Linked DNA regions of Macaca fascicularis. The protein of the gene in region 7 purifies or fractionates together with the protein of the main gene of each other region. This does not show direct contact. Links are inferred from orthologs where the notes say so. Each region holds a gene or a part of one and is shown on either strand. Other genes may lie near its edges.

The links.
Region 1: the proteins of TNKS1BP1 (region 7) and CNOT11 purify together in Homo sapiens (affinity purification with mass spectrometry; 5 studies listed by BioGRID and IntAct, counting the BioPlex papers as one, with this or other methods). This does not show direct contact. The link is inferred for Macaca fascicularis from reciprocal best matches to the Homo sapiens genes TNKS1BP1 and CNOT11.
Region 2: the proteins of TNKS1BP1 (region 7) and CNOT2 purify together in Homo sapiens (affinity purification with mass spectrometry; 5 studies listed by BioGRID and IntAct, with this or other methods). This does not show direct contact. The link is inferred for Macaca fascicularis from reciprocal best matches to the Homo sapiens genes TNKS1BP1 and CNOT2.
Region 3: the proteins of TNKS1BP1 (region 7) and CNOT6 purify together in Homo sapiens (affinity purification with mass spectrometry; 3 studies listed by BioGRID and IntAct, with this or other methods). This does not show direct contact. The link is inferred for Macaca fascicularis from reciprocal best matches to the Homo sapiens genes TNKS1BP1 and CNOT6.
Region 4: the proteins of TNKS1BP1 (region 7) and CNOT6L purify together in Homo sapiens (affinity purification with mass spectrometry; 4 studies listed by BioGRID and IntAct, with this or other methods). This does not show direct contact. The link is inferred for Macaca fascicularis from reciprocal best matches to the Homo sapiens genes TNKS1BP1 and CNOT6L.
Region 5: the proteins of TNKS1BP1 (region 7) and CAPZA2 purify together in Homo sapiens (affinity purification with mass spectrometry; 4 studies listed by BioGRID and IntAct, counting the BioPlex papers as one, with this or other methods). This does not show direct contact. The link is inferred for Macaca fascicularis from reciprocal best matches to the Homo sapiens genes TNKS1BP1 and CAPZA2.
Region 6: the proteins of TNKS1BP1 (region 7) and CAPZA1 purify together in Homo sapiens (affinity purification with mass spectrometry; 3 studies listed by BioGRID and IntAct, with this or other methods). This does not show direct contact. The link is inferred for Macaca fascicularis from reciprocal best matches to the Homo sapiens genes TNKS1BP1 and CAPZA1.

Annotation. Positions count from the first base shown.
Region 1 is NC_088387.1:5,748,237-5,751,736, forward strand, and holds part of CNOT11 (CCR4-NOT transcription complex subunit 11), read left to right. Parts: intron 1-180; coding exon 181-383; intron 384-2,535; coding exon 2,536-2,632; intron 2,633-2,714; coding exon 2,715-2,912; 3' UTR 2,913-3,500. UniProt on the Homo sapiens protein: Component of the CCR4-NOT complex which is one of the major cellular mRNA deadenylases and is linked to various cellular processes including bulk mRNA degradation, miRNA-mediated repression, translational repression during translational initiation and general transcription regulation.
Region 2 is NC_088385.1:76,975,271-76,979,413, reverse strand, and holds the start of CNOT2 (CCR4-NOT transcription complex subunit 2), read right to left. Parts: upstream 2,646-4,143; 5' UTR 2,563-2,645; coding exon of another isoform or gene 2,441-2,562; 5' UTR 2,323-2,440; coding exon of another isoform or gene 2,111-2,322; intron 1-2,110. Other genes in the region: uncharacterized protein, read left to right, coding at 2,111-2,322, 2,441-2,562, 2,646-3,155, 3,522-3,591. UniProt on the Homo sapiens protein: Component of the CCR4-NOT complex which is one of the major cellular mRNA deadenylases and is linked to various cellular processes including bulk mRNA degradation, miRNA-mediated repression, translational repression during translational initiation and general transcription regulation.
Region 3 is NC_088380.1:187,471,733-187,475,232, forward strand, and holds part of CNOT6 (CCR4-NOT transcription complex subunit 6), read left to right. Parts: intron 1-1,842; coding exon 1,843-1,947; intron 1,948-2,028; coding exon 2,029-2,097; intron 2,098-3,171; coding exon 3,172-3,329; intron 3,330-3,500. UniProt on the Homo sapiens protein: Poly(A) nuclease with 3'-5' RNase activity.
Region 4 is NC_088379.1:56,098,752-56,102,251, reverse strand, and holds part of CNOT6L (CCR4-NOT transcription complex subunit 6-like), read right to left. Parts: intron 3,196-3,500; coding exon 3,009-3,195; intron 1,657-3,008; coding exon 1,571-1,656; intron 1-1,570. UniProt on the Homo sapiens protein: Has 3'-5' poly(A) exoribonuclease activity for synthetic poly(A) RNA substrate.
Region 5 is NC_088377.1:158,309,228-158,313,377, forward strand, and holds the start of CAPZA2 (F-actin-capping protein subunit alpha-2), read left to right. Parts: upstream 1-1,350; 5' UTR 1,351-1,440; coding exon 1,441-1,479; intron 1,480-4,150. UniProt on the Homo sapiens protein: F-actin-capping proteins bind in a Ca(2+)-independent manner to the fast growing ends of actin filaments (barbed end) thereby blocking the exchange of subunits at these ends.
Region 6 is NC_088375.1:121,725,056-121,728,555, forward strand, and holds part of CAPZA1 (F-actin-capping protein subunit alpha-1), read right to left. Parts: intron 3,433-3,500; exon of another isoform or gene 3,334-3,432; intron 2,423-3,333; coding exon 2,359-2,422; intron 1,567-2,358; coding exon 1,360-1,566; intron 1-1,359. UniProt on the Homo sapiens protein: F-actin-capping proteins bind in a Ca(2+)-independent manner to the fast growing ends of actin filaments (barbed end) thereby blocking the exchange of subunits at these ends.
Region 7 is NC_088388.1:16,292,291-16,296,545, forward strand, and holds the start of TNKS1BP1 (182 kDa tankyrase-1-binding protein), read left to right. Parts: upstream 1-1,455; 5' UTR 1,456-1,563; intron 1,564-4,070; exon of another isoform or gene 4,071-4,159; intron 4,160-4,255. Other genes in the region: FACT complex subunit SSRP1, read left to right, coding at 1-1.

The DNA.
Region 1 (3,500 bases), on a different chromosome or scaffold from region 7:
TAAATTTAGAAATGTCAAGACATCATGGGTTTGAAGGAAGAAATTTATGAAGTTGGTTCAATGCAGATAGTTTTGTAGCTTTTTGTATAAAATGCTTATTTCATATACATGGGAAAAAAAAATTGACTCAAGACCCTCTTTTTCTCTCCCTCTCTCTCTTTAAAAATCTGGTGTATTTAGCTCCTTGGTGAGTTGGAAAAAGACCCCAAACTTGTCTATCATATTGGCCTCACCCCAGCCAAACTTCCTGACCTTGTGGAAAACAACCCTTTAGTTGCTATAGAAATGTTGCTGAAATTAATGCAGTCAAGCCAGATCACTGAGTATTTCTCTGTCCTGGTCAATATGGACATGTCTTTACATTCAATGGAAGTTGTAAATCGGTAAGTTTCTAGATTTGATTAAATGTGTGGGGATAGATACAGATTAGATGGCCAGGAAGGAAAAATTGTAACAGATTTTTGTGTTGATATTATTGGCATAAGAGTAACTATTAAAGAAATAATCTAAGCCTTAGCATTCACTACATGTGAATTTAGCATGCGTTAATAAGAACTGAGGGTAGGATTTCAAACATATTTAGTGTTAGTAGAAGCATAAATGAAAACTGCTGAAATTTATTTTATTTATTTTTTTGAGAGGGAGTCTCACTCTGTTGCCCAAGCTAGAGTACAGTGGTGCAATCTTGGCTCACCGCAACCTCCACCCCCTGGGTTCAAGCAATTCTCCTGCCTTAGCCTCCCTAGTAGCTGGGATTACAGGTGTGTGTGCTACCACACCCGGCTAATTTTTGTACTTTAGTAGAGACGGGGTTTTGCCATGGTCAGGCTGCTTTCGAACTCCTGACCTCAAGTGATCTGCCCACCTCAGCCTCCCAAAGTGCAAGGATTACAGGCGTGAGCCACTGTGCCAGCCAATTACTGAAATTCATTTCCCTGTACATAGTCCTATCTTCTTTATCCCTGTACAAATACAGATATTTTTTTCTTAGTGACTAACAGCTGTAAGTGTGGAAAAATATGGACCTTAGGAGCTGAGAATCCTAGGAATGCCGTCCTAGCTTCCTCATGCTCTTCTCCCAGCCTTTCTGACTCCCCCGTCTCCTGACCCTGCCATCCTTGACTGTCAGGAAAATAGAACGTCCTCCCTTCTTGATGTGTGCTATACAGTGTTTGCATTTTATAGTATTTTCCTTACAAATATCTTTTAGGCAAATTGTGAATTAGATGGGCTGGAGGGCTTCAGTTGTTTATGTGCAGGATGGCCAGAGGTTCAGGTGTGCCTGAGTCCTGGTGGAGGCTTTGCATCTGAGCTCCCTTTCACGTGGTATCCTGCTTTGGATGATAAATTATATGGTCCTCCTATATGGGGAAATCCGTTCTGAGTGCCAAGCGACTAAACTTCAGTGACAGCATAGTTTTTTAACACCTGTTTGTAAGTTGGGGCTTTTTGAAAAATCTATGTGAAATTGAACTACAGAATGTGCCCTTTTTTTTTTTTATCAACTATTGGAGAAAAAAGCCCAGCTGGAAGCCGAGGGAGTGGAAGTATGTGCATAGAAGGAGTGCATTCTTTTAGGGGCAGGAGGGGGAGGAAGCGTGAGGTTTCCAGATTAATTTTTAACTTTAACCTTGGTCACCGGCAAAACCAGCTAGCTGCTTGTTGAAAATGTGTTGCTGCATTTCTCCCACTCCTTGTTCCAGTCTTTCCCCTACTGAGTGAAGACTCTTTTCAGTGGCCCAGTTCTGTGCAGGTTTGCCCGCACAGCGTGGATTGACCACGCTGAGTGTTCACTTCCCCTTCACCATATTCTTATAGCAGTTCTTGTCACTACCAGACATTTGGCCCTGAGTCCAAGATGCAGAATCACTGTATCTTTTTGTCAGTGCGATTCTATCTGCTCAGTATCTTGGAATTCAAGGATAGGGTCCTGTTTGTTTTCCCCCAACACCTATCACAGTGCATCATCCTTAAGCGTGAAAACATGTTTGTTGGTGACACACAAATCTCAAGTGACTGCAGCAGCTCATGACAGTGTCCTTGGAGCACTGCCTCCTCATGCCTTATTGAAAAAAGTTTTGAGGTCTGGTAAGTTTAGAAAAGGTAGCATATATTAATCTTCTTTTGGAAATTCATACCTTGAGTATGGAATTCCTGTTCCCAGCCCACTCATTTTTCTCCTTAAAGCATTCCATGTAATCCTTTGGAAAATACTGGCTTTGGCCTTCATTATGACTCTAAATTCCAATAACAGACCATGACTTATGATTTAACCAAGAATACTCAGGGGCAGGGCTCAAAAAAATAATTGCGGTATGTACAGTTAAGTAGAGACATTTTTAAAAAGTGTTATAATTTATGAGTAAGTAGGTGTGGCTCTTGGGTTTACTTGCCCAAGTATATTTAAAACAAGGGAATTGGATATATCAGATAATTCCACCAGATGACCGAAGCAATTTTTGTATTTTATGGTTAACAGTGTTTTTCGATGTTAGCAAATGAAATTAATGGCCCAAATTTTCTTTTATGAAACAGACTAACTACAGCTGTTGATCTACCTCCTGAGTTTATTCACCTTTATATATCAAATTGCATCTCTACTTGTGAACAAATTAAGGATAAATATATGCAGGTAATAGAAATTTCTGTAAATTTTATAATTGCCTGCCAGGAAAATGAGCACACTAACATTTGTTCTTTTTCCCCTTTTTCAGAATCGGTTGGTGCGTCTTGTGTGTGTGTTTCTCCAATCCTTGATCCGTAACAAAATTATTAATGTACAGGATTTGTTTATAGAAGTGCAGGCATTCTGTATTGAATTCAGTAGGATACGAGAAGCTGCTGGTCTTTTCCGGTTGTTGAAGACATTGGATACTGGGGAAACACCTTCTGAGACCAAAATGTCAAAATAATACCTCATCAGAACCATCCCATCCATTCACTGTTCAGCTGTACTGTGATTTAGTTTTTACACCGTTAAAACCCTGAGTGGATTGCTTGGTCTAATGCATATAAAACAGTACTTTATCTACTTAAAGCAAAGTTTTGCTTTCTTGGATGACTTTTTCCGTGAGATGAATTTTTGATAAGAACTGGGGAAAACGTGTCTTTTAGGTGTCTTGCTGTTGACTATCCACAGGAGGAATGGCTATCCCAAAAAAATAGATGAGTTTTTTTTTTTTTAAGCACTAAAGAACAAAATGTGTTTTTCATTAATACAGGCTTCTGATGAAACAGGAATCCAGTTTTCGTAAAGTTCCAATGTTGATAATGAGAGTAAATTCTTAAACGTTTGTGATACTGTCCTAGAGGTGAAAGCAGCTGAATGTTTCTGAACCATCAAGAGGCAAACAGGAGTTTGGTTCTTGAACCTGCTTATGCACAAAGCTCTTAACTCCTCATGAACCAAGGATTTACTTGTAACTTTCTCCTTGTCGTGGAGGCTTAATAGACAACAGAATAAATGCATTTCTTGGGCCTCTTATAAACTTGGGAACGCT
Region 2 (4,143 bases), on a different chromosome or scaffold from region 7:
AAGTTCTACCATAGCACTAGATCCCTTGATTAACACTGTATATAATTCCACTCAAACATTACAGTACACCTCATATTAACTCTGCCCCTAAACTGCCCTACCTGGTACCTTGGATCTTTTGCCTCTTTGTGTTACAAAATCCCCTACAGACCCAGGTAACAAATAACATCATAAATGTTTGGTTGTATATTTTCCTAAAATCTCAGGAAAATTTTAACAAATTTTAACAACAAAAAAACAGCTATTGTTTAACATTGCTTTTAAAGAGCAAAAAAATAAATTGTAAGCTAAGTGTTTTTCACTAGTCTATTAATGCTTACTCATTATTTCACATATACATGTGAAGCATACATTCTATTTACATTATCAGAAAATCTTATGAAGTCTGTCACTAGAAAACATAAAACTATAACTTATACAGGTTGTAAAAAATTCTGTAATGGTCTTTCAAAATATAGGTACTTTTAATACCAGTATCTACTAAAGGAATACAAATGAGAACTGGGTTAGAAGCACTTCTAATAAAATCTATTCATACACCTGAAAATTTTATTTACTTTTGAACAAATAATTTTCAGGTTATAATAACTGTAAAGCATCTCTGAAAAATCAAAAAGTGCAACACCCAAAGTTATAAAGGAAAAACAAAGGTAATTAGTCCTTGTAGGGAGGTATATGGGAAGTTGTATCATTCTGAATTTTTTTGTTTTTGTTTTTTGCCCAGCATCATAAGATAAGCCACATTCTGAGTTTTATCTTCAAGATCAGGTACTTGGGGATATAAATCACTCACACACAAGCATTTTGCCCTCCTTTTCCACCATATAAATTAAAGTATTATAGAAACTGAAAAATTGTATAGGCTGTATGTGTTGCTTGGTTAAACAAACAGGCAATTCTCATTCCCTGAGATCAGATTAGGTTACAGATATCTCTACATTGTATACTTAAAAAAAGATTCCTGCCAACAAATGTTTACATTAACTTATTTGTATTGATGAAGTACTAATTCAGATACAAAAAAAAAAACTTTAGCAGAGTTTCTCACTTCCTCTCTAAAATACAAAGTATTCACAAAAGTTATTACAATTCAAGCTCTCAGAAAATATGAGAGAAAGATACCTTTTCTACAATAAGGATCTTACAAAGTCAAGAAATAAGTGAGTAGAGTGGAACATGTTTTGTCTTTAAGTGTATTTTGTATTTCTTTTTCTTTAGATTTAACATTATAAAAGAACTACAAACTAAACAAATTCAACATACAGAGCTTACTAATTATCTTGGTCCATTATAAAACATTTCAATGAACTGGGCTCTGAATATAGACACTTAACCATTTCAGCCCACTATGATTCTTAACCCTTTCAATTCGCAATCTTACAAAATTATAAGAGACATATTCATTGACGTTTGGAAAGAACTGTTGTCAATTATGCCAAGCATTCCCAAACTCAACATAAACCTTGTATGTAAATGGATACTTTAAAATTTCTATCTCATCCCTCACCCCATACTTTATTCTTTCCACTTATCTTGCTTCAAAAGGGAAATCAAGAGTCACACTTATGATTCCGAGCTCTAAAAATTCCTAATATCAAGCATGAAGTATGTTCAACTTTGGAACCTTAAATTTAAGTTGGCTTCCCTCGTGAACTGACTTTGAGTACTTTTTACCATTTCGCCAAGAATCTAAGGGTTCAAATCAGTGTACTTAATTACGAAGAACTGCCCAAACGATTTTAAAAGGAGTGGGATTCTCTGACCAAGAGTTTTATGAAAATGAAACAAAATATGTTGCACTCAGTCTTCCGGATGTTGAAAAGTGAAGATGTCTCCAAGGATTCGAAGGAAGTTGTTTAGGTTCCTTCTGAGAGGGTGGTACCCTTATGTAAGACTTTTGTGGTGGTAATACCGTACCTACAGGCCTGGAATAAATATAAAGTCTAAAACCTTGGAAATACTTTGTATAAAAGAAAACTACAATTCACTTTTGCTAAGGACCACAGTCACCAAGAGTCATCAGCTTTCTCCCGGACAGACAACAGTGCCTCAATTAAGAACTACAAAGGCCTCTTTTAACCCTACTCTTTTCTTCTGTGAAACTTTTAAGTGAGACCTACAACAGCAAAAGGTGGAGAGGCCCCTGCGGAAGTAGAAAACCAGGGCTTGTAACTTCACAGACAGAAGCATCTGTGGTTCCTCCGCCGCCCCAGGACCATCCGGACTCAGTCTACGACACTACGGAAGCTTCACCTTCCTGGTGCGGTGGCAGAGGCAGCATCGCAGTTGCATTCCTTCTCCCTCCACCATGCACAGCCTTCGGTATCCCAGGGCCTGCAGGCTCCTGACACCCGTTAGCCAGTCCAGTGTCTCCCATCTGACACTTACACACACACTAACAGAAATACACATAACTGGCAGATGATATACGTGTATTGAGAATGTAAGGAGCCAGAGACAGCACCAGCTGCTGGGAAGGCGGCAGAGCCGTCTAAAGCGGGCTCGAGCTCCTCAGCCACGGCCGCAGCCGCCTTCTCTTCTCCCCCAGGAAGCAGCGCGGCGGTAGCGGCTCCTCCGCGCTGGCGGGAGCCTAGGGGAGTGGAGTCTGGGGAAGCCCCGCCACTCGCGGATGGGACCGGGCCTAGGATGTGGAGCTGCTGCTGCAGCGGCCCGAGTACAGCGACGCTTTACGTCCCGTCCACCACCACCCCCATACACACCCCCTCCCTCCCTCCACCGCCGCCACCCCCCCTCCCCGCCCGCTCCGCTCTCCCTCTCTCGATTGGAGCCGAGACAAAAGCAACGGGAAGCGGCGGGCCGGGACGCTACCGGCGGACCCCGGGCGCGGCCGGACCGGCCCCGGGGCATTCCCCCGCCTTGCGGGGGCCCCGAATCCGCCGCCCCCGCCGCGCGCCCCGCTGCCAGACTTCCGAAAATTTGCCAAAAACTCACCGCATGAATTTTCTTGTCCCGCGGATCCAAGATGGCGACGTATCCACCGCGGAGGCTGCTGGGAGCAAGACCTTTACCCTCTGACCGCCGCCGTGACCCCCGTCGCTCCGGCTTCCCTCCGGGTGGCGGCGGAAGGTGGGAGCGGCGACTGCAAAGCAGCAGCGATGGGGTGGGTAGGCTGCTTCCAGCGCGCTTCTAACAAGGTGGAGAGAGGCGCTTCACTCCCCTACCGCCCTTACCGCTGCTCCGTCTTGTCTCCCATCGACTCACAGGGAGGCTTGCTGCTCCTCCGCGGCCGTTACAGAGAGCGGGGCTTCTGCGGCCGCTACCGTTTTCCTGGGGCCAGGTTGCTTCGCAGAGGGCTCTGGCCCTAAGTCCGAGGGGGACCGCAGGGTCCAGGGGCGATGAATGGTGAGGTGGCTTCAGTCCGCCCTCCCCGGGGATGCTGAGCGTGTTCGTGTTTGTGTTTGTGTTGGACACCCCGCCCCCGCACGTCCGCCTCCTCACTCCTCCCCTCCTCATTCCCGCCACCTGGGCGAATTTAACCGTGTCCCCGTTTCCTCCCTTAGCTCCCGCAACCTCCGGAGCTTGTGCGCGTACTTCAGGGACCGGCACCACGTCACCGTCACCTTCTGAGTAGTGAGTTCCCCTCTGATGAAACCACTGGTGTATTTACTCACCATCCTCACCTTTTTTTTTTTTTCCCCCCCCAACCTGGTGGAAGGAAGTACATAATGGAGAGCAAGTTTTTAAAGCACGGTCGTGTCGTGTGAACTTGCTCTAGCCAAATTAGGTTTATAGCACTTTTTCTGACTCTCATTCCCCCCAGTCTCCACATAAACAAGAGTGACCAGCTGGGTCATCCGCAAGACCATTTGAAATTATTGTGGCTTGGGTGGAAACTTAAAGGAGTGAAGTATCTGCTTTCCAGAAAAATCGTTGTCGTTCAAAGTGAAATTAAACTTTTCTTTGCAATAATACCCCTTTATTTCTTTGTATGTCTGTAAACTCTTCACTTTTTTTGTAATTACTAGACATTTCGTTCTTAAGAGCCTCTGCATGTGTGTTTTGGAATTGTGTAGCTTCATAATGTGAAAAATTGTCCTTTTCTATTTGAGTAATTAATTTGAAGTAAATAAAATTTCTACTTCACTTGGTTGTTTCTTTTAAAAATTCACCTTTTCTTACAAA
Region 3 (3,500 bases), on a different chromosome or scaffold from region 7:
TTATAAAGCAAGATCTTACAAGGGGGGATCACATAGGTAGAAGCAGTCACCTGTCAATATTCTTTGCACTAGAAAGTAGTATAAAGACAGCATCGGCCAGGCGCAGTGGCTCACGCCTGTAATCCCAGCACTTTGGGAGGCCAAGACGGGCAGATGAGAAGGTCAGGACGTTGACACCGTCCTGGCTAACACGGTGAAACCCCGTCTCTACTAAAAATACAAAAAAAAAAAAAAAAAAAAAATTAGCTGGACATGGTGGCGGGCGCCTGTATTCCCAGCTACTCCGGAGGCTGAGGCAGGAGAATGGCGTGAACCCAGGAGGCGGAGCTTGCAGTGAGCCGAGATCGCACCACTGCACTCCAACCTGGGCGACACAGCGAGATTCCGTCTCAAAAAAAAAAAAAAAAAAAAAAAAACCCAGCATCACTGTAGGTCTGGTTAGAATGAGTTGTTTACCTGATACTGAGAAGTTTTCGGTTGACTTCGTTTTCTCAAGATGTGTTTCACACAGGGTCCTGATAAGCTTCAGGTTGTAGCTGCCTATCTCACAGGATTGTGACTCAGTGAAAACATGAAAAGACTGATGAGTATAAAGAACCACACATGTCAGAGATTGGTGCTCTTGTAATTGTATTCCTGCAAATACCTACTTTGCACTTAGAGCAGCAGATTTTTACTTTTTATAATTCTTAGAATCCTAGAATTTTCAAACTGAAAGAGATCTTAAAGGTAAATGAACTTTGCCATTTTTCCCATCCATGCAACTCAGCTTCTTTGAAGGATACTCCACTGCCTCACAGCACAGGGCGTTTCAAATAGCTAACAGTGTTTGCCAACGTCTTCTATTCTGCCTTGGCCTTTCCTGTTAGATCTTATCTGTCAGTCTTCCTTCTGCTCTTTGAGTCCGATCTTTTATGAGAGAATAGGAAAAAACACTTCCTTTAGGTTGTGATCATTCTTATCTACCATATCCTTTAGTTTGTCTTCATTTGGTATGGTTAAGATCTTTGACCATTTTATCTGCCGCCTTCAAACTGCAGAATTTGTCTGGTTTTCTTAAAATGGCTCTGTGGCATCCAGAATAATACACAACGCTTGTGTAGAATGGATAGGAACTTTGCTCCATGAAACCCTGCACTGTACTGTTGTTATTTGTACTTTTGTTTCTCATGTACATAAGAAACCCTTCTGAGAGGATTTGAGGCTCTTGTAGGTATATGTAAATCATTGTATTTGCTCTCATTTTGGTACAAAGCAGTTATTGAATTTACAGATGGCTCATGGCCCTGGGATTTTTTTCCCGCTCCTTAGTGAGTTAATTCTTAAGCCAAGTCAGCCCCATGTTGTTGCTTTATTCAGTATGACTTTAAAAGATCTAAGTGCAAGTGTATATTTGTCATTAGGATGTTTTGTTGTTAGCTTTGTGACATTGTAGAGTTTTGATTCTCTGATGCATTACGCTGGCTTTCATCCTTCCCTTCACTGTTTCCTCTGCCCACCCACTCCCCCAGTCACCTGGCTGCCCTGTTCCTGTTTTACTCGCTCTTGTTTGTTATGACCGTCTGTGTTATTGAAAATGTTGGCAAGGCAGGTCAGATACAGAGCGCTGCTAGAGCATTTCTGATTGACATCAGCCCATTAATATGTTTTGAATGTGTATATAAAACATGGTATGAATCATTTTTACTCTTATATCAAAAACTGAAAAAACATTTTCTGTAGTTTGACATCTTACTAGTAACTATAACATTGTTATAGATGATCTGATAATTTTGGTACATAATAAAATTTTGAAACATTTTAGTGCTTAGTTTCATTTTACTTTTTTAAAATTATTTCCAGGAAATCCCCTTACCCAGGATATATTGAACCTTTATCAGGAACCAGATGGAACAAGACGGCTGCTGAACTATTTGCTTGATAATTTGTCAGGTACTGCAAAAAGAAGTAAGTGGTTATTTGTTTAAACCTTTTTATTAGGAAGATGTGTAAGAATATTGCTTAATTCTGTATTTTCTATTCAACTAGTTACAACAGAACAACCACCTCCAAGGTCTTGGATTATGTTACAAGAACCAGATAGAACAAGGCCAACTGGTTGGTAGTCTTTTATTTTTTAACTGTTGTTTTTGCTCAGTCTCTATTATAAGCCTAACAGTATTGTCGGCATGCTTAGATTACAGGTAGCATTAAGATAGAATGTTTAAGGTTGATTTGGTTTGGGAGGTAATGAAAAAGAATTCTTGCTCACATGACCTCTATGTATATTACATTGTGCTATATAGAAAGTGTACTATAAAGCAGTGCTTTTCAAATGGGCCGTTTATCCCCCAGAGGGCATTTGGCAATGTCTGGAGACAACTTTGATGGTCATAACCGGGGAGAAGTGCTGCTGGCATCTAGTGGATGGAGGCCAGGGATGCTGCTCAGCATTCTGTAGTACATGGCACAGGCCCCCGCAACAGACTTCACCTAAATGTCAGTAGTGCCACTCTTGTTGAGAAACCCTTCTGTAATGTACTGATGAAATTCACTTAAAATGAATACACCCAAATCTTTCTCTGTTAGAAGTTTCCAAATCCTAGCATGTTCCAAATGGATTTGACACTACCAAGTTATAAGAGAGCTAAACCCTTACTTAAGAGGAAAGTGGAACTAATGACTGCTCATCTCCTTTTAACCTAAATTCTATGAAAATAGTTTGGGAGCTTTCATGGCGCGTGTAACAAAATTTGGTCTATGATACCGTTTTCATTTTGCATGAAATAATAATAGTTGTGCTGTAGAAGAAAATGAGGCATGCCTATTAAGGACTACCTATCCAGTTTCCATGTCATACATGAACAATTGGTAGCATGGTAGGAGTATAAAAATGAGGAATGTTAGACTCAGAGACCGAAGGGCTCACAAGCTTAGACTTTTTACTTCCAAACCTCTGTGCCTGCCTCTGTAGCAGGTAGTACATTGTATTCTAACTTGTTCACTTATCTATCCTGCTTGTGATATCCGTCTTTTATTTGTCCCCCATGTGTGGCATATGGTAGCTTTTCAGTGACTATAGATTGAATGAATACAGTCAAACTTAACATTTAAGTGAAAACCATTACTGAAATTAATTATATATTTTTTTTCTGCCACGTGTGTGAATAAGTAAAGTTATCTTTCCTACAGCCTTGTTTTCTGTCATGTGCTATAATGTTCTTTGTGATAAATATGCGACCCGGCAGTTATACGGCTACTGTCCATCATGGGCACTAAACTGGGACTACAGGAAAAAGGCCATTATTCAAGAAATCTTGAGCTGCAATGCTGATATCGTAAGTCTTCAGGTAAGTCAGACAGAAGAGAGTCGACCTAGCATTGATAAAGCAAGGAACAAACTAGGAATACATTACACTGACACATTTGAAGTTTCAGCTTCGGTAGTTCTTCAAGTACTGCTTTTTGCTGTTATCAGTGAATGCTGGGAGTACTGCCTGCCTTTCTTTGCAGTGCTGTGT
Region 4 (3,500 bases), on a different chromosome or scaffold from region 7:
GGGGAGGTGGAGGTTGCGGTGAGCCGAGATTGTGCCATTGCACTCCAGCCTGAGCAACAAAGCGAAACTCCATCTCAAAAAAAAAAAAGTAAATTATTCATTTGTCATTGATATGCTTTCTATCAATATCAGGAAGAAGAAAATAGCTACTAGTGAGGAATAGACTTGCCCCTACTCCAACTCCAGCTGAATGGCTATCTCAACTATATAATGAGATTGAGCATAAAGAAAATGAGGCGAAATGTCTCAACGGTACAATTTCAAATGCCTTGGGTTAATCCTCAATCCTCAGGAAAATATTTTAGATATAAGTATTCTCCCTCTCTACTTTATAGGTGATTTTAAAAAATCAATAAAATCTTACAGAGAAACTATAAACACAAGATTCAAACCATTCATATAATTGTCTAATTTATGAAACTGAATAAGGAAACCTAATTGTCATATGTTATTTCAACCAATAATATCATCATTCTTTCTATTCTTATTCAAACTTCATTCTTAATGATCCATTATATGACATAAGCAAATGCAGGCAGAACATTATCATGGAAACTAAAATAGTCTTTTAAGAAGGAAAATAAAATCTATGAAAGTGTATACTTTACAAGGCTTTGACTGATGTTTATTCCTCATGAGCACAGAAGAAAATGTTTAATATAGAATATTCGTACTTGGTCCTATTAATTCATAAACTCTCATATGCTATGCCATAAGAGAAAACTATACAAATTTCAATGTTTCTATGAATTGAGTGTGCCTTTCATCCCAAATTGAATGAGAAAGATAGTCAGAGAAGTATGTATTTTGGACTAACACACGTTACTTAGAATAATTTACTTAACAGGTATAGCTAATTTTACTATTATAACGTTTTCTCTCCTATAATCACATCAATGCTATTTTATTTAGTCAAAAGCTAAACATGAGGCATTCTGGCTGAGGTTTAGACTATTATTATGTAAAGTAATCCCTTTTTTTTTTTTTGAGACAAAGTTTTGCTCTTGTTGCCCAGGCTGGAACGCAATGGCGCGATCTTGGCTCCCCGCAACCTCCGCCTCCTGGGTTCAAGTGATTTTCCTGACTCCCAAGTAGCTGGGATTACAGGCATGCACCACTACACCCGGCTAATTTTGTATTTTTAGTAGAGACTTTAGTAGGTTTCTCCATGTTGGTCAGGCTGGTCTCAAATTCCCGACCTCAGATGATCCGCCCGCCTCGGCGTCCCAAAGTGTTGGGATTACAGGCGTGAGCCATCACACCCGGCCTAGTATTCACTTTTTTTTTTTTAAAGTGTTAATTTAAATTATCTCTTCTAAGAAATTTCAGTTTTACAGAAAATTAAAGGTAAGATATAAAAACCAAAAAATTTTCCCCTTACAAGTTTGTTAAAATGATGGCACATATTGAAATCTTCAAGTTCAATTTGATACATAAAGAACTACTTTTCTTTCAAGAGAAAGTACACGTAGTCACATTCTCAAAATCATACTAAAACTTAACCTTTTTAAAGACCAAAATGCTCTTTCAAAGGATCAGAATACCTGAAAACTGTTTAAAAGTCACTTACCTTTCAAACCTAGAGTTTGTAGCTGGAAGAGCCGACCAAGTTCATAAGGCAAAACCCGTAACAGATTGTTATTTAAAAGCAATTCCCTGTTTAAAAAAAAAAAAAAAAATTTAGTTTAATATACTAAGTTTTATTAACATCTGTATTTGCCATTAACGCTCCTTCTAACATACTATAAGTGATTGTTTATATTCAAGGCACATCTCTATGTGCTCATCCAAAAACACTGTACAATATAAAAGTACTATGAAATGTGTAATTGCCACTACTATTAACAATGTTTCTATTTCTATGATTTACTCATTCTCTAGCTCACATTAAAGTTGGAGGTGTAGGAACTGCATATCATTCTCAGGCTAAATCTACCCCCTTTTTTCTCACCAAAAATGCCTGTCAAATGCAAATGTGACAGATATCCTTAGTATCTAACCAACAGATATCCTTGAACCCCATCTAATCAATAGAAAAAAGTACAAATTTTTACACAAACTTCAGGAATAAACTGTAATTAGTAGCCAATCACCTATACCTTAAGTAACTGAATACTAATCATATCAAAATACTAAGAAAACAAACCAAAAAATTAATAAAAAGATTAATAAGAAACAGGTGAAGTATATTAAAGAAGACAAAAGAAAATGTGAAAAGATGAAAAAAATACTATGATCGACAATTACTGACATGAAACATAAATATTAAAATAAAGCATAGATAGTACAGACAAGAATAGGATAGCATAAGTAAGATCTAACTTTATGACTGTGAAATTTTGAGCAGACTATAGGAAAAAAATAGCACCCTCATTAGTGGATGACCAAAAGTAAAAAAAGCAAGTAAAGGAAAGTGAAGAACAAGATTTTAAAACAATGTTTAAGTTTAAACATGTGACGGCAATTTTTAAAAATTATTACTCAACAGATAATCACTGGAAACATTTAGATAAGATCTTAAGATTTCCTACAAAGTTTTTTTAGGATTTCTTTAGGGAATTTTTAAAGAATCCCTAAAAATTAGAAATAAATCCATTTCATCAGGTTTTAAGGTTTCCTTAAGGAGTTGTATTATGAAATATAAATATACTTTGACTCAAATAATAGAGCTATGTTCTTATCAGTTGTATTCATCAGCAAAACTTCATTTTTCAAGTATTTCTGATCAGTCTTATCACATTGGATAATGAGACTTACTATTTTAGCCTCACCCCACCTCAAGTTTGTCAAGGAAACTGGTAATACAAGCACACTCTAATTCAGGACCCTCCAAATTTAAAGAAAGGAAAAGAAATGAATAACGGAGGCCAACTCAAGCACTATGCTTAGACAGTTTATATAATTTGATAGTTATAACACACCAAAATCCTACTATAATTGAGTAACATCCCTAATTTTCTTAAATTTAGAATTTTATATAATGAGTCATGTCTGTATTACTTCCTCACCTGAGAGACACCATGTTTCCTAGTTCTGCTGGTAAACTTCTGAGTTTATTGGATGACAGATCCAGGTAAACCAGATTATGAAGCTTGGCAATATCAGGTGGAATGCGACTAAGGTAATTGTCATTTAGGTGCAGCGCTGTCAAGTGTGTCAATGACCAAAGTGATGTACTTAGGCTCCGCACTCTACCTAAAAGGCAAAATACTGAAGTGTAAAACCCCAGGCCCAAGATGACACCTAAACTACAAGGACTAAAAAGTGGTAAGAGAGGCTGCAAATACACATGGATATTGTATCTCTGACATTTTAGTTTTTCATTTAATGCATTTGATTGCTTCCAAACACGCCTGGCCCTCCTTTACGTTCATGCCACTTTCACATGACAACCACTCTTTCTCATGAACCTTCCATGTATTAAATGAGAAGTGGCAAAATGTGGAAACCCTTGGAGTTTAACTGAGTAGTTCTCAATCAGAGGCAATTTGGTTTCCTCA
Region 5 (4,150 bases), on a different chromosome or scaffold from region 7:
GCCCGGCCCCAACTGTTCAATATATGTTTGTTTAATGAGTACAAAAATGAGCTTCTTGAGAACAGAAGTTTCTCTTTTTATTTCAATAGTTTTGGAGTACAGGTGGATTTTTGGTTACATGGGTAAGTCCTTCAGTGGTAATTTCTGAGATTTTAGTGCACCCATCACCTGAGCAGTGTACCCTGTACCCAATATGTAGTAATTTATCCCCTCCCCAGTCCCCAAAGTCCATTTTATCATTCTTATGCCTTTGCACACTAACAGCTTAGCTCCCACTTATAAGTGAGAACATAAAATATTTGGTTTCCCATTCCTGAGTTACTTCACTTAGAATAATGGCCTCCAGCTCCTTCCAAGTTGCTGCAAAAGGCATTATTTCGTTCCTTTTTATGGCTGAGTAGTATTCCATGATGTATATACCCACATTTGCTCTATCCACTCATTGGTTGATGGACACTTAGGTTGGTTCCATTTCTCTGTAATTGCGAATTGTGGTGCTATGAACAGGCGTGTCTAGCTTGTTTTTTTCTCCCTCAACACTATAGCCCCAGAGACTAACACAGTGCCCCGCACCCCGTTAAAGGACCAGAAAATATTTGTTGGATGAATAAAGGAATATATAAAGAGCAATCTTTCAATTATGGAGCGGGTCGTGTGTGTGTATTTTAATGAAAGCCGACTATTTAATTTTTTGTTTGTTTGTTTGTTTTTTGTTTTTTGTTTTTTTTTTGAGACAGAGTCTCGCTCTGCCGCCCAGGCTAGAGTGCAGTGGCGTGATCTTGGCTCACTGCAAGCTCCGCCTCCCGGGTTCACGCCATTCTCCTGCCTCAGCCTCCCGAGTAGCTGGGACTACAGGCGCCCGCCACCTCGCCCGGCTAGTTTTTTTGTATTTTTTAGTAGAGACGGGGTTTCACCGTGTCAGCCAGGATGGTCTCGATCTCCTGACCTCGTGATCCGCCCGTCTCGGCCTCCCAAAGTGCTGGGATTACAGGCTTGAGCCACCGCGCCCGGCTATTTAATATTTTTTTAAAAACAATGTTTAAAAAGCTTCTATTTGTCCACCTTTTCAGATTTTAGCTGGCAGAGTTCAAGACTTGATAGAAACATAACGAAGGGCTCAGAATGTACTCATCGCAGACTGAGCCCATATGGTCACTGTGGGGAGAGAACGTTACACTCACGATGCTAGCAAGCCTGCTGCAGGCGGCCCCGGGAGACAACGTCCCCCGCCCGGCCACCAGGCACCCGCGCACGCGCACAGCCGCGCTCAGTCCCCGAGGGCCGGGTCGAGGGAGGCGGGGCTCTCGGGGCGCGTGCGCGGCGACCTGAGCGGCGGGCCCCTCCCTTAGCGGGGGCGCGCGGCGCTGAGGACCGCACGGAAGCGGGGAAGTCAGGTGGCCGCTGCCGCCGCCGCCGCCGCGGTTTGTCGCCAGAAGGAAGATGGCGGATCTGGAGGAGCAGTTGTCTGATGAAGAGAAGGTAAGAGTCGTGGGGGTGGCGGCGCCGGCCGTCGGGAGCCGGCTCAGCCCGGGCGGGTGGGCCCAGAGTCTGGTCGCGGGGGATGGGCATTGGCTCGCAGCTGGCGGTGCCCTCGTCTGCCCTTCTTCCCCCATCCTTGCTGCGCCGAGTGCCTGCCCCTGTCCGTCACCCGAGGCCCCGCGCGGGGGCAGGTCTTTGCCAGGCCTGCTCGCTCCGCTCCTTGTAGGGTGTGTACTCCGAAAATAGGAAGCGGGAGCCGGGCGACGGCGGGCGGGGGCGCGGGCGCGGGGGAGGGCGGCGGCTGCCCGGGACTCTCTCCTGCTATCCGGCCGCGGAGCCTGCGCCGGGGGCCGGGGACCGGGGACGCAAAGGGGTCTGCGTCCGTGCCTGGGAGCGGCCCAAGGGCAGTGCCCAGCGCGGCGGCCTGGCCTGTGAGTGTAGCGGCGGGTGAGGGGGAAGGGAAAAATCGCTTAGGAAGCAGACCTTCACTTCTCCCTTCTACTTCCCCCTCCCCAAAACAAAACGCTTCCTTTTCTGATTCTCTACGGTTTATCCCTTTTTTTTCCCTTTCCCTATGGAGGCCTCTCTCTCTCCCTCTCTCTTTCGTTTCATGGCTCTAGCAGTAAGCTTTGCAGCTCCCATGTTCCCCGGGAGGCAGCGGAGTTGCTCACAAAAAGACGACCCCCTCCCCATAGTTGTTTTCTGCCCACGTTGTCAGCATTCTCCCCGGGGGTCGATTTGGTGTCACGTCACCTTCCTGCTAGGACTTCTTCCGAGAGGGGAAATTGTTCTACTCCTTTTACTGTATGTCAGATGCTGTGACAGCAGTGGAACCAGATGAACTACTTAAGTTCTCAGATATTTAAAAGGAGCAATGGAATAATTCATTGAACTGCTGCTCTCTTAATTCGCCCCTTTCGTTTGGCTTTCGTGAACGTCCCATTCCTGAGGGTGGTGGGATAGGGGAGAACCCTGCTAATTTTGACTGTTTCTCGGAAAGGACACTGACGTTTCTCAAACTTAGAAGTAACTGACAGAACATACGAGTGAGTTAGTTGTAGGGTTGGAAATGTCCACTCTTCGTTAAAGAGTGCTCCATTTTTAAATTTCAAAGCAGTACAGCCAATGGAGGAAAATACAGGTACATTTAGGTACGTTGTGGTGTTTAAGAAATCCTCGTGTAAGTCTAAGAATATTTTCATTTGGGACCCTCTGCTCTAGGTGTTTTTATATGCTGTGTTCTTGCACCGAAATAGAAGGTTCTGTCCCATTCCCAATGTGAATGGTCAGAAGTCAGCCTCATCTTTATTTTCGGAAATCTGTCTTTCTCTTGTGTTGTTTGGTGAAAGTGATAATACAACAACAAAATGGGGGCGAGCAACGTCTCCATAACCCACAGACCCAGTAGGCAGATCCCTGTATCCACAAAAGTTGCTATACAGTATTGAATGTATAATCTTGGTAAATAACCCTAAGTAGGTGACTGAAAATGTACAGGAGTGCACAAACGCATATTTAAAATTGAGTCGTGCTAAAAAGCTTAAAAAGAGATTGTCGTGTTTTTATTCTACCATTCTTAAGTGGTGATTAGTAGCTCAAGTGGCTAGAAATCTAGCTGAAGAGAGAATACTCAGTGTGGGAGTTAATAAGACCTGCCATGTGTTGTAAAGGCCTAAAATTAAAAAGTTTTTTAAAAATGAGATAACAAGATGCCTTATTATCCGGCACTCTCAGGGCACTAAGCTTCATAAAGAGGAATGAGGAGGTTCTATGTCTTAAAGCCTGCGCCGCCTAGTAGCAAAATGTTTTATGGTTAAATGAATGAAAATTCTAATTTGATTTTTGGTGTTTTGTAAGAATATTATGTAGATATTTTACATATAAATTTCATCACTATATTTACTAATTTAAAAACTGAGAAAACTTTTAGGTTAAATTCAAGTAACCAGTTAAGTGAAATTTTAACGTTCTTGTCAATTGAGATATCTAAAGGTTGTTTTCATTTTGGGGCAGGAGGATGTGTCCAGTATGGGATCAGAAAACAGAGAGGACTTAAAAGTGATATTTTGATATTACTCTTTCTACGCCTTATTGGTAATTTTCAAAAATAAGCTGTCAAGCTGGGCATGGTGGTTTGCACCTGTAATGCCAGCTACTCTGGATGCCAAGGTATGGAGGATTGCTTGAGCCCAGGAGTTGTAGACCAGCCTGGGCAACAAAGCGAGACCTCATCTCTAAAAAAAAAATACTAAGTTTTGAATACTTTTAAGTTTTTGAGATTTCCATTCTAGATTGCAAATCTGAGGAAGGGAAGCTGTTAAGATGTATCTAGTACTGTACTTTATATATGCTTGGCTCAGTTAGATCCATTCATTACTTAATTTGTTGTTGTAAGAGGTAGTTGTTCTATTTCCATTTCACAGATGAGTAGAGTGAGGTTCAAAAGCTTTAAGTAGTTCACCCAAGGACAGTCAAGATGAAGGTCTTGTTACATTATGCTCTCTTCTTTTTTTTTTTTGAGACAGAGTCCCCCTCTGTTGCCCAGCCTGGAGTGCAGTGGTGCAATCTCGGCTCACTGCAACCTGTGCCTCCTGGGCTCAAGCGATTCTCCTGACTCAGCCTGCTGAGTAGCTGGGATTACAGGCACGTGCTACCATGCCCAGCTAATTTT
Region 6 (3,500 bases), on a different chromosome or scaffold from region 7:
CTAAAAATATAAAAATTAGCCAGGTGTGTTGGTGGGCACTTGTAATCCCAGCTACTCAGGAGGCTGAGGCAGAAGAATTGCTTGAACCCAGGAGACGGAGGTTACAGTGAGCCGACAAGGTGCCCCTGCATTCTAGCCTGGGTGACAGAGTGAGACTTTGTCTCAAAAAACAAAACAACAACAACAAAAAGAAAATCATTCCTGATTTTTAAAAAATCGTTTGGTTTTTTTGTTTTTTGTTTTTTTGAGACAGTCTCACTCTGTTGCCCAGGCTGGAGTGTAGTGGGGTGGTCTCAGCTCACTGCAACCTCCACCTCCCTTGTTCAAGTGATTCTTGTGCCTCAGCATCCTGAGTAGCTGAGACTACAGGTGTGCACCACCACATCCAATTACTTTTTGTATGTTTTAAGTAGAGACAAAGTTTCACCATGTTGGCCAGGCTGGTCTCGAACTCCTGGCCTCAAGTGATCTGCCCACCTTGGCCTCCCAAAGTGCTGGGATTACAGGCATGAGCCACCGTACCCAGCCAATTGTTTAGTTCTAATAGTTTTGATTACCTAATATAAATATTTAAACTATGTAGAAGTAGCTTTGTGTAAAAATGCCTATATCAAAAAGTCATAAATATGAGCAATAGCTCTCTAAACAATCTTAGTATACCATTTTTTCTCTGTGTCCAAACCAAAGACCTTTTAGATCTGGGTAAAAATACAAACAAGAAAAAAATTAATTTAAAAGGTTAATTTTAAAAAAGAAAGAAAAAAAAAACAAAAGACCTTTTCCTGATGGGTGTAAGGCATTTCTCATAAGTCAAATGTGAAAACAGAATACACCGATATCTAAATTTTTTGTGCATTGGGATTTTTTTTTTTTTTTTGAGACAGAGTCTCGCTCTGTCGCCCAGGCTGGAGTGCAGTGGCCGGATCTCAGCTCACTGCAAGCTCCGCCTCCCGGGTTCACGCCATTCTCCTGCCTCAGCCTCCCGAGTAGCTGGGACTACAGGTGCCCGCCACCTCGCCCGGCTAGATTTTTTGTATTTTTTAGTAGAGACGGGGTTTCACCATGTTAGCCAGGATGGTCTCGATCTCCTGACCTCGTGATCTGCCTGTCTCGGCCTCCCAAAGTGCTGGGATTACAGGCTTGAGCCACCGCGCCTGGCGCATTGGGATTTTAAAAAGAACTTTTCCATATAAAAATTTCCATTTATTTATACCCCTTTCCAAAATGATTTAGGGAATAAAATGCAGAGGAGAAGAGAGCATGACTAAGAAGAAAGAAGGAATGTTTGGTAGGCCAAAGTCTCCAAAGGATAAGGTAAATATAAGAAAACACTCTTTGATAATGAAGCAGATACTTAACAGTACAGAAGCCGTTGGAATAATGGTCTTTCACATAGGCTCTTAAAGCACTGTCACAGGATTCTCTCCAAGACTTCAGACCTCCATCTACTTCTTCTGGCTGAGGGTCACTTGCTTCTTTCCGTAAGTGGTCAAATTTAAAGGAAATTTTGTTTCTTGGATCTAAAAATCTGCTATTACCCAGGTCACCGTGCTCTGTAATTAAGACCTTCCAAAGAATGATTAAACATATGAGTAACTTTGTAAAAAAGACAATTCTTACTGCCTTTTGTGAAACACATCAATAAAAATTCTGAGGCAGTTAACTTTTCATTTCGTCAGACTTCTCTTTCATAATTTTTCAACCAAGTCCCATATTATTAAGAATATTACATTTATGAATAAGTCAACTTTAAACTACAAAATATCCCCCATATTAATAATAAACTTCATTTCTTGGTTTCTAATATATTATCTATATAGTTATTTTATACATAGCTGTGATAACTTTTATGTACACTTTTGTATTTTTTTCACAGATTTTTTCCAGAGTCATTATGAAACTTTAGGGCCATTACACTTAGCATTTATAATAGGTAACACATTCACATGGTTCAAAAATGAAAAAATACATAAAGTAAACTGTTTTCTCACCCCATTTTCCAACCACCAAAATCCTAAAGTAATAAATAAGTAGTCTAAATTTCAGGAGTGCCTCTGTTTTTCCATTAAATATGTCTGCTGTTACTCTTATCAAGGAGAATTAAAGACAGCTGGAAAACCTGTACGACTTAAATACTTCCATTTTCACTGTTCTTGTTAGAGGCTGCTCTCCTTTCTTGTCAAAGAAACTGCTAGTGTTATCAGAAAGAGGAAAAATATCATAACATGTAGAGTACGTACAAAAACTAAAAAAACTAAGACAAATTTACTCAGCACCTGGTTCAGACATCTGCTTTGGTTTCTATTAATAAGATTTCTACTATCTCCCAGGCATAGCCTTCTAAAAGGCAATTATTACCTGATCTTCATATCCTTCTATCTTCACAGGCGTGAACTGATCCATGTTATACTGGGCAAATGCACTGTTTTTTTAAAAAGTTTTTTTTTTTTTTTTTTTTTAAAAAAAGGAGAGAGAGAAAAGAATTATGTGTAAATAAACACAAAGGTGGTTCACAGAATAGTTAAAGGAAATGTGAAAACTGTACCCGGTACTTTTCCCCTTTCTCCCCAGACATCCAGTGTTAACATAATGCCTTCCAGCTTTCTGAAGGGACTCCTCTCCACGGAGATCTTGGAAGCTCCTTAAACTCTGAAATTACCTTTTCCTCTTTGCTCCTAAGCTCCAAAAGATCCTCTACTTAGACAATTCCAAAGTTGGTTTGTTTTGAGATAGTCTCACTATGTTGCCAGGCTGGCCTCAAACACCCAGGCTCAAGAGATTTTCCCATCTGTTTCCTGAGTAGCTGGGACTACAGGTGCGCACCACCACACTCAGCTAATTCCAAAGTTTGAAGCAATCTGATTATTGTGAACTGCCAACAATTTTAATCGTTTGGGCAGAAGCTTTCAGTAATTCAAAAGAATTTTCCATTGATACACTATTTTGGAAATGATTTTTTTCTTGGCTCTCAAAGTCACGAGAAACTATAATTAAATGTCAGAAGGCATCTGACATGTGAAGAAGGTGAAGTGAGAGTTGAGCATGAGTCAAGTATAAAAGCAGAGCCTCAGGCGCAGAGTAGTTATTTTTAAAAGAGGAATGCATAAATAATCAAAGTACATGCCTAATATTACTGTTTATTTGTCCAAAGCTTGATTTTTGAAATTCTGCATTTTTAATGGCTCTCTAATACATTTTACAAAGCTAAAGCAAAAAACAAGATAAAAGAAAGATGGAAATAAGAGTTATACTTATATTCTTGAAAAGTATCTGTCTTCTCACAGCATTCCCAATTTTAACCTATTAAAATAGACGGCTAGTATTTTTTTCCCATGTCAGACAGGTAATGTGCCAACATAACAAGGTTTGAGGGAGGCACATCTCACATGCATGTGAAAACTCAACCATCACACTTATGAACTACAAAAGGATGGAGACCACTAGTTTCAAGCAGAGCGTTAAACTTTCCCTAGGCTTTTCAAGATAAAGCAAAATAACAA
Region 7 (4,255 bases):
GAAATGGAGGAAGGTTCTCTTTGCGCTTGCCTTCTCACACCCCCAGACTCCCCACATTTTGGTACCAGTTTCTCCTCATGAAATGTAGTCCCTGGATTCTGTGCCATCTGAACATGCTCTCCTGCTGGTGTGTATGTCACTAGGGCCGTGGGGAGACTTCTTAACTCTGTTGCTTCCCAAGGATGGCTGTTTATAATTTGGGGAGAGAGGGGGTGGGAGGCAGGGCAATGCAGGATCAAAATCCTCATCTTACTTTCCCGACCTTAATTAAGGATGTAGCTGCTGCTGGTCCTGTTCAAGTTGCTGGAGCAGGGGTCATGTGAGGCCAGGCCTGTAGCTCCTACCTGGGGCCTATTTCTACTTTTATTTTGTATTTCTGGTCTGTGAAAATGATTTAATAAAGGGAACTGACTTTGGAAACCATGTCTTTATGCTTTCTTTGTAGCCCTGGTTTGTTGCTCCTACTTTTACTGGTGGTGGTTACTGCCCTGGTCAGACTAGGCAGAGCCTGGCCAGCCGGGAAGCAAGTCTCGAGGCACATCCTGTTCTGTTCCCGGCTGGAGAAGCATTGGTTTTCACCCGCCTCTGCCCGGATGGGCCACCTGAGAATCTAGAAATGAGAGCTGATGTGATTAGGAAGTCTCTCCCGGTTACGCTCCATTAGCCAACCAAGCTAGGGGGAGGCAGCTCTTGGCCCCATCCTTACCTATGAGTCAAGGGTCTTCCAAGGCTTTAGATAATGAAATCAGGATTGACTGTCCTTCCCGCAGCCGGGGGAGTGGAAACGTGAGCCTGGAGAGTCGGGGAGGATGAGCGTGTGTGTAGGGTGGTGGTGGCTGCAGCCTGGTGGGGGGTGCAAGAAAAGTACGGAGTATATGTGCAGCTTTTGTTCTTACGGGAAGAAGGGGGGATACAAACTTCAGTGTAGGGAGGAACCCACGTCTGAGACGGGGCCTGAAAGGAGATAAAGGTCACTACTGAGGAAAGCAGAGCTGCCAGACTTCCTCACCGTGGCTCTAAATCTGAATTGACACAGGAGGGGTGGCCACGTTGCGCGCGTTCTCAGCACTCAGGTGGCTGTACCAGGAAGCCGCTCCAGTCCGCCGGCTGCTACCTTCTTGCCGGCGTAGCTCGATGGTACTGCACTCCGTGCAGGCGGCGGGGCCCGGGAGGGGCCGCCAAGGCAGTCTCTCTAGGCAGTCGTCTCGGTGTCCATTTTACCCGAGCGCCCCCGGCTGAATTGCGTCAGTTTCGCCCCGGTCTGAGCCTGGGGCGGGCCCCTCATCTGCAAGCCTCATGAATAATTGAGTACTGGGCCGCGCCTGTTTGCCGACGGTGGGACGAATTCTGCACGGGCTTCCAACTCCCGGGTTCCACCGGCTCATGCATATTCATGAAGCGCCCTGGGGGCGTGGGCCTGGGCGGAGCTAGGGGCGGGGCCCCGCCGGGGCTCACAGTGGCTTCGTCCCGCGGTGACGGCGGCGGCGGCGGTAGCAGCGGCGGCGGCGGCGGGGACTGGCGTCGGGGCGCCGAGCCGAGCGGAGCCGGATCCCGGGCGAGCGCGTGAGTGCGCGGGGGCGGGCGGGCGAAGGAGGGGGCGGGGTCCGGGATGGGGCGGGGGAGGGGCATGGAAGGAGTGGGCGCTTTCCAGCCGAGACCTCGGGTTGAGGTGGTGGTGGTGAGGGGGTCACCAGGAAAGTTTGCAGGGGCCGGGGGCGCTGGGGACGCTGGAGGCCCGGGGGAAGCTGGCGCGTGTGCGCGGGGGCGGAGGGCGCATGGTCTGGAGCTCGTGCTGGCGGAGCCAGAAGAAAGGGGGGAGGGGGCGAGGGCTTGGGGCGGGGCCGGGGGCGGGCAGAGCCGCTGGAGGGACCCCTGCCTCCCCTTCCCCTGGGCCGCGCTAGCCCCCTCCCCCGGCTCCTTCGGCACGCCCCCAGCCACCCCAGTCCGCCCCCACCTGATCGACGTCTGCAGCCCACCGTCTGTTCGCCGGCTGCTTCACAGCCCGCTCACAGGTCCTCCGCTTCTGCCGCCACCGCCGTCCCCTCCTCCTCCTCCATCCTCTTCTCCTCCTCCTCTTCGGCTGCCGCTGTCCCTTCTGTGTCCAGAGCTCCCCACTGGGCCCCTCCAGACAGCCCATTGCCCGGGGCTGTTCCATCTTCCCGTTGGCCCTCCCTCTTTCCACCAGTTTGCGTGCTGTCCCTGCCGACCTCTCTAGCCTTCGATCCGGCTGGAGATCTTGCGGTCCATAGGGGCGACCCCCCCTGCGCCGAGTCCCCTCCGGGGCTGGAGCTGCCCAGCCCTTCTGGAGGCCTTATCTGCCAGGGGTCAGTTCGTCTCTACCCCGCTACCCTCTACCTCCTGGTCTTTTGGGGGTGGGGAGTGCTCAGATCCGCTGCGATTTTGCAGCTTCTGGCCACAGCCTTGGTGGCCTTGCTCACCTGGGGCTCCTGGCTGGGGTCTCTGAGTTGCTGTGGCCACCTCCGCACCTGGGGACTCTGAGCCCGCCTTCATTGCTGCAGCCCCTCATACCGCAGAGGGGCCCATCAGAACCTCAGGTGAAAGGATTTTTTTGATTCTGAGCCAATTCATTTCCATGTCCAACCACCCACACTATGTCCCTAGTAATAATGTTCAAGGACAAGGAAACAATCTTGTGTTTTAATTTTATTTTTTCTATCATGTGCCCCTCCCCCCACCACACTTGGCCTGGCTCTGCACAGTTATTCACACACCCACAGTGGGCAGTCTTCCGTGGTGGTTGACTGACCAGTGGGTTGACAGTACTGGGTTTCTCTACTGTCTTCATACCCTTTCCCATCTTTGAAATCCCTGGGGCAGGGTTAGCGTTAGGGGAGAGGAGTTGGATTTGGCAGAGGTTGAGCACTGGAATTTGGTGCTGTCTTCCCAGACCAGCTGGAGTGGGTGGTTTTAAGTGAGGCAATGCCCCTTGCAGGTTGGAGAGGGTTGGGTTGTCCTCAGGGCTCTGCACACCGGGTGAGGGAAACTTCCCCCTTGCATGAGAGGTGCAGGGCCCTATTCCCCAGGGTCTCCATGTTTTTGTGGGTGGGAGAGTGCTTCAGGAGCCAGGATGGGAACTGAGGAGGTGGTGGAGTATCTGAAGAACAGGTGACAGCACTAGGGCCTGGGAGAGTGAAGGAATGGTCTGGGAATGCTGGTAGCCTGGGGTCACGGAAGAGGAGGAGGTGCTTATCAGGATATTAGCTCATTGGTGACACTGAATGGAATCACAGTAATCATAGGCAACATTTATTGAATCCTTATTATGTACTAATCATTGTGCTAAGCAGTTTTCATGTACTATATCACGTAAGCCCCCTCAGGGTCTCAATAATCCCATTTTTCAGTTGGAGACACTGAGGCTTAGAGAAGTCACACGGCTAGAAAGTGGTAGACCCATCCAGCCTTGAATCTTGGTATATCAGACCCTGAAGCTCCTGTGGCAGGCTTCTACCACAGGGCTGTGCCACTTGGTTTAATTTCTTCTGTTCCCCTCAGAACTCCTTAAAGCCAACCCAAGGCTGGTGAGTGAAGCCCACATAGCCCCTTTTCATAGGCTGTGGCTGTTCCGCCCTGACTCTCTTGGAAGGTGGAGCCCCAGGGAATTTTCCCCCAAGTCACTCCACCCCCCGGATATTCTCAAGCCCTGTCCCGTTCTCCCAGCCCAGGCCTGGGCCGGCTCCTCCTTCCTCTTGGCTAGGCTCTGGAAATCCAGTGGGAGGCCATTGCTATGGCAACAGGACTAGGCCCTGGCTTTACCTCATCAAATTCCAAGCTGAAGCCAAGCGATTGAGAAATTAAAGAAAAAAATATATTCCAGATGTTTACTTTTTATTCCTTATTTTTCCGTGTTTGGATGAGACAGCTCTGAGGGAGGGGAGAGTGGGGCAGGGATGTGGAGGGAGAACAGGGAGAGGGGGGAGAAGGAACCACTCCCAGCTTTGGGAGGGAGGGAGAGAGGGAAGGAGGGTGAGCAGGAAGGGGGAGGCAGGCAATGGGGCGGAGCCCAGGTTGGGGAGGAGCGGGTTTTTCCCGTCTCCCGTGAGGTGATTCACAGACTTCATACTTTGCAACTCTCTAGCTCTGCTTTGAGTAGACACCTCCAGCGGGGCCGTCCTACCCAGGGGGCACTCTGGGGACTGTAAGTGGGGTGTCTTGGAGAGTTTGTCAGAGGAGGGAGCAGTGAGTGACTCCCTGAAGCGCTAGGACTTTGGGGTTAGAAGATAAGAATGGGGAG